2 linked regions of the Saccharomyces cerevisiae S288C genome follow. The gene in region 1 interacts genetically with each later gene. Each region holds a gene or a part of one and is shown in the gene's direction. Other genes may lie near its edges.

Region 1 (2,419 bases):
CAGGTCCCAGACTTACAACAAGGTAGATAGGGGGGCGCACCTTGTCGTCATGAGACCCATTTCGTAGAAACTTGAATTTGTTGTTGTTACTTCTGTTTTCAAGTAGGAGTAACGAGGCCGCGTACAATTTGCCAGTGGATTTGTCGCCTGCAGCAGCGGCCGCGACGCGACGGGTTGATCCAATTTTGTGCTTGCTTCTTCAACTGAATATTTTGAGTCCACTGCATGTGGAAAACAGAGTTTTCAGTCAGTCTTGTATGTATATTATTCTCTTTAGCTCCAGAATTTCTGCTGTGCTTAGTAACTTCTTGCCGTTGAGCTGATTTTAGTAGTATAATTTTTTTGCAACTCTACTGATATCAAGAGCAGTGATATGTGCTTTAATGTTGGCATTTCTTTCAAGCCAATCACCTTCTACCATTGGTCACGGTCTCAGTATATTTGTCGTAAATATTAGTACTCTAGTCTGGTCAGAGAAGTGGCCTTTCTCCCACCAAAACGTTGTTGTTCTGTCTTTTTTCTTATTATTTACTATTTATTGGATTTATCAAAAATTCCTCAGGAACAAGATTTAATATTCTTGAAAATCCTGTATGTCATAAATCATGAGCTTGGAAATTGACACGAAATATCGGATGGCACTACTTGATGATCGTTTTTATCACTACCGCTGTACTTTAATTTCATAATTTATTTGGTGACATTTCTCTTGAAGATCTGGCAAGATGTACACGGGGAGCTCCTTCAACTGTTAAAAATATTTTTAAAAGTAAAGACGTCACCATACTTTTTCACCATAAGAACAATTACTGGTCCAGATTAAGAACGGTTGGAGTAAGAGCCAATTATCATTCATTGACTGGTATTTCCTTTTGAACTATATTATCATATAATAGGTAAGAAGATGGCAAAAAGGAAGGAGAAACAGTGGTCTGATGTGATAGGGAAGTAAATGTCAACAAATACCTAACAGTACTATCTGATCGAACAAAGAAATTCCACCAAACTGTCAGTAAATTTATTTAATGAGCAGCAAGGACATAGTGCACAACTAGCACTCTACTTCGATTGGGTTATTGAGGAAGAGGATAGTATGCCCGGAATTTTCAAGCATTTACATGATTATGGTTTCATTGGGGTGCAAGAAGACCCAGCATGATTAGATTGCTATGTACTCATTATATAATATATCTCCGATGAATATATTTCCGAAAGTTTACTGAAGGCGACCTTGGATAAACCATAGTTTTACGGCAAATACACCATATCACTATTTTCTTTCTATATAGCTTTGCTAAGGCTTTTTTTAGTGACCGAGACAAAGAAGAAAATTTTCCATAAATGAAAGACCATTGTTTATTCCGAATCAAGTTTTCCGAAGAATTGTTGTATTACACAGTCCAGAGACAGCAGAATCTTTCAGAAATTTTAATACTGTTGTGACAGCATCTTGTCTATTATTTATTGGATACGCAAAACTCATTTTTTTAAAATTTTTTTTATAATTTCCTTTAAATAAAAAGGTTAAAGCTGGGAAAAATGCATCTAAATAATAAACTAATGATTTAGTTTCCCTCATTTAAAATATCTAAGAAGGACAGAACTTTGTTTGGGGTACTTACCCTTGAGTATTTTTAGCGATTATTCTTGGAGTTCTCAGCCAGAAGATTAAAAGAATATATGTTACTGAATGCAGTGTGATACTCAAGACTAAGTAGTCTTAACAACAAGTTAACAAGGGCGTGTGGTCTAGTGGTATGATTCTCGCTTTGGGCGACTTCCTGACTAACAGGAAGACAAAGCATGCGAGAGGCCCTGGGTTCAATTCCCAGCTCGCCCCTTTTATTTTTGATTATTTATTTCCTATTGGTCGGGTAACAGATTTTTTTTATTTTTTTCAAGGCCCTTTTGTTTTGTAAACAAAGAAATTTCACAAAGTGAGCGTCTACTAATATTGATAATGCCATTTCCACATTACAACTACTGCTAGGCGCAGGGTTATATTACTTACACACGCATATATATGTTTAATTGGGTATAGAGGGGTTATTGTTTGACCATGCCGAAGAGAAAAATTGCTCCTAACAAGGAAAGCAGCAGGCGTACGGTCTCCCACGATGATTTAACCCCACAAATACAAGAATTTCAAAACCTAATGGATCTCGAATCGCAAAAAGTGGAAAACATCAGACAGTCGTATTCGAGGCAAAACTCCCTGCTGGCCAAGGATAACTCCATATTAAAAATTAAAGTTAATAGCTTGGAAAAAAAAATAAGCCAGCTGGTACAAGAAAACGTGACTCTACGATCTAAAACCTCTATAAGCGAAGCTATCTACAGGGAACGGTTAAGTAATCAACTACAAGTCATTGAAAACGGTATTATTCAAAGATTTGACGAAATTTTTTATATGTTTGAG
Region 2 (4,073 bases), on another chromosome or scaffold:
CCTATGCTCTCGCATAGCCCGGACAGATCGACTTATGCCGATGACTTTTCTCAATCTTACCAGCAAGAATTGCTAACTTTTCCGCTATCGTACCCGATTGTCGATGAGTCAGAATGCACGCACACTAAAGATAAGACGGACAGCAACATAATAACGAGTACTGAAGACGATTGCATGTTCGATATGGAATTTAACGGCAACGCCGCCAGTGCAGTTGCTGCTGCTAGTAAGGAATCTAACTCTGCCTCTGGGTTTGCCTTTGCAAGTAACGATGCCTTTGCCAATGTCGCACAACAGAACTACAGACTGTGGTTGTCATCGGTATGACGCATTTTACCACATCTCTACTTGTTCTCACGACCCCTTGCATCGCATATCCTACACATTTTAAATCGGCATTCCTTCCAAGCATATTCTTAATTCCTAATTTTACATAGTTTTTTTTTTTTTTTAGAGAAAATAACAACAATATACATAGAACTTACTTACTCAATTCTACTATATCTTTTTTTTTTGTTACTATTAGTCATGTTTGCATGACTCCATTACATTTTCGTTTTTTTGCTAGCCAATTCTGGTCGTCGGAAAAACTTTTCATTGAATCTTTCAAAGCGTGTAGCAGTTGCATTTTTTTAAAAATGAATATGTATGCAAAATATATATATGTATATATATGCCTAATATACATAATAATAGAAAAAAAAAACCTCATACGAAATAGGCGCTTCTCGTATCTATACTCAACCCGCCCCCAATGCTGAAAATTGTTACTCGGGCTGGACACACAGCTAGAATATCGAACATCGCAGCACATCTTTTACGCACCTCTCCATCTCTGCTCACACGCACCACCACAACCACAAGATTTCTGCCCTTCTCTACGTCTTCGTTCTTAAACCATGGCCATTTGAAAAAACCGAAACCAGGCGAAGAACTGAAGATAACTTTTATTCTGAAGGATGGCTCCCAGAAGACGTACGAAGTCTGTGAGGGCGAAACCATCCTGGACATCGCTCAAGGTCACAACCTGGACATGGAGGGCGCATGCGGCGGTTCTTGTGCCTGCTCCACCTGTCACGTCATCGTTGATCCAGACTACTACGATGCCCTGCCGGAACCTGAAGATGATGAAAACGATATGCTCGATCTTGCTTACGGGCTAACAGAGACAAGCAGGCTTGGGTGCCAGATTAAGATGTCAAAAGATATCGATGGGATTAGAGTCGCTCTGCCCCAGATGACAAGAAACGTTAATAACAACGATTTTAGTTAATGTCTGCATTTTTACCCCTCATTTGTGCCCCCAATTTCTCCTGTGAATAATCTATATATATATATTTATAATTATAATTATAAGGAAACAAGTCAACTTTATAATATACTCTTAAACAATCGTTTCGCGATATCCTCTGTCATGCCTCCACTGCCAGGTCTTTATTGTTTAGTCTCAATAATCGCAATTAAGTTAATAATATTTGCAATTGCGGCAAAGAAAAAATAGGTAAACAAAGAACTGAAAAAACAAAAAAAACAAAAAAACAATGAATATAGAATATGAAATGCCCTAACAACACACACATACACACACATTCTCCTCGCAAAAGCACCATTTCCTGACCAGTGTACTTTATGGCGTCACAGCAAAACAAACACGCTTTTCTTTCAAAGAATAGAATCTTTCACAATCCCGATAATGTGTCCTCATCAAAATCTCGAAACCTTATGGATATCACAAACACGACAAACACCATGAATGGCTCTAGACCTTCGTCTATGAAGAGTTCATTGGCTCTTCCACCCGTAAAGGATTCCTTCCCATCTGTATCTCGATCTGCATCATTAAACATCAACATGAGCAAAATTAAGGACTTAAAAGACCGCCAAGACAAAATAAGGTTCCAAAGACATACTCTCAGGACTCAATTGATTGAGTGCGAAAGAGAAATCAAAACCATCAAGTTTCGAGATCTCAATAAGTCCAGGTTTGAACTTTATAAGAAAAAATCCAAACAAGCAAAGTATCTCAAACAGGTTAGAGATTTGACGCAAAATCTGAACTCCAAGGACGGTGAACGCGCTGATTTAATTAAGAAGAACAAATCCGCTTTGGCAACCTTGCAGGCTGAACTCGACCAGAATCTGATCTTGAAAAGGCAGGAATCTCAAGAATTGTACAATAATAAGCTTATCTTTTGGGAAAATGAGCTGCAAATAATGGAAAATGTCGAGCCTGACCACGAAATCACAGAGGAAATATCTCAGTTGAAGAAAACGCTGCAAGAGCTCAACATAAATTGGGCGAATTTACAGAAGCAAAACTTGGAAAGACAAGTAAACCACGAATCACAATTGAGGAAGGATTTTATTGCATTCAAAGAAGCTAAGTTAAAATCCATGGAAAATTTGACAAACAAACATCGTGAATTACTTGATCAGATAGCCACTCTACAATCGGAAAGTGAGAAGTTACACAAGGAGATCATGGATATAGATAGACAAGCTGAATATTCGGAACAAAACATCTCAGAAATAAATGAAAATATAAAACAATTGGAATTGGCAAACAACCCACTAATAAGCAAATCCTTACAAAACTCGCAAGATTTGGAACATTTACAAAACCAAATGGAAAATTTGAAAGAAATGGCCTCTAAACAGGAAAAATTTTATAATGATACCTATAACACTGTGGAAAAAGAACTCCTGCGGAGTAGGAGACTTGAAAACTCTATTATTGAACAAAAAGGCACGATGCGCTGTTACGCTTACGTGATGGAGCAAAATTTGCCTGAGAACCTTTTATTTGATTACGAAAATGGCGTAATAACCCAAGGTCTAAGCGAACATGTTTACAAATTTAATAGGGTGATACCGCATTTAAAAGTTTCTGAAGATAAATTTTTCACTCAAGAGTATAGCGTTTACCATGATATGTGCCTGAACCAAAAAAAAAATTTCAACTTAATATCTCTAAGCACCACTCCACATGGCTCATTGAGAGAGTCTCTAATAAAATTTTTGGCCGAAAAGGATACAATATATCAAAAACAATATGTGATCACCTTACAGTTTGTATTTTTATCAGATGACGAATTTTCTCAGGACATGCTCTTGGATTATTCCCACAATGATAAAGATAGCATAAAGTTGAAATTTGAAAAACACTCAATTTCTTTGGATTCCAAACTTGTCATCATAGAAAATGGACTCGAAGATTTGCCCTTAAATTTTAGTTGTGATGAACACCCAAATTTACCTCATTCTGGGATGGGTATAATCAAGGTGCAGTTTTTTCCTCGAGATTCAAAAAGCGATGGCAACAATGACCCCGTACCGGTGGACTTTTATTTTATCGAGTTAAATAATCTGAAGTCCATTGAACAGTTTGATAAAAGCATCTTTAAGAAGGAATCATGCGAGACCCCTATTGCACTTGTTCTGAAAAAACTAATTTCTGATACTAAATCCTTTTTCTTGCTAAACTTGAACGATTCAAAAAATGTCAATAAATTATTAACGATTTCAGAAGAAGTTCAAACACAACTTTGTAAAAGAAAGAAAAAGCTCACTTAAGCTCGGTCACATTATCGTCTTTCTTAACACAGCCATTTAGATATGAAACAAATAAGGTTTATAATCTTTCAATATAATTACAACATACCGCATACACACACTTTTTATACATCAATCTTCCGTTAAGATTCCTTTAATTAACCAATTTAATTCATGCCTTGTACCAACGTTTCTTTCATCCAAAGGCGTGAAAGTCGGCTTTTCATTTAAGAAGTCCGGCAAGTCGTCAATATTGCTCTTCATATCTACTAGTTCATCATCGTTAACTAGCCCTAAATTAGTTAACGCATAGTATGAACCTGAAGGTTCAACCAAATTCGGAAATATAGATAACGAATCATATATGTCTTCATTCGTTAATGATATCGTTCTGTTTTCATGTAACTCCTCATTAACTGCTTCGCCAGCCTTTGTAATGCTGCTCATTGATATGTCGCCAATATCGTCCTTGCTACTGTTATTGCCGTTATTAATACTTTTGGCTTCATCGGCACATTCAT

The links.
Region 2: mutations in YOR072W-B (region 1) and VIK1 together harm fitness more than expected from each alone (negative genetic interaction), as found in Saccharomyces cerevisiae (one large-scale study listed by BioGRID).

The regions. Positions count from the first base shown.
Region 1 is NC_001147.6:462,712-465,130, forward strand, and holds YOR072W-B (uncharacterized protein), read left to right. Parts: upstream 1-1,757; coding exon 1,758-1,919; downstream 1,920-2,419. Other genes in the region: SGO1 (Sgo1p), read left to right, coding at 2,060-2,419.
Region 2 is NC_001148.4:70,563-74,635, reverse strand, and holds VIK1 (Vik1p), read left to right. Parts: upstream 1-1,629; coding exon 1,630-3,573; downstream 3,574-4,073. Other genes in the region: ATG41 (Atg41p), read left to right, coding at 1-327; YAH1 (adrenodoxin), read left to right, coding at 755-1,273; HFI1 (Hfi1p), read right to left, coding at 3,685-4,073. UniProt on the Saccharomyces cerevisiae protein: Together with the minus end-directed microtubule motor KAR3, plays a role in microtubule organization. Recruits KAR3 to microtubules, and together they may stabilize the polymers. The KAR3-VIK1 heterodimer cross-links anti-parallel microtubules.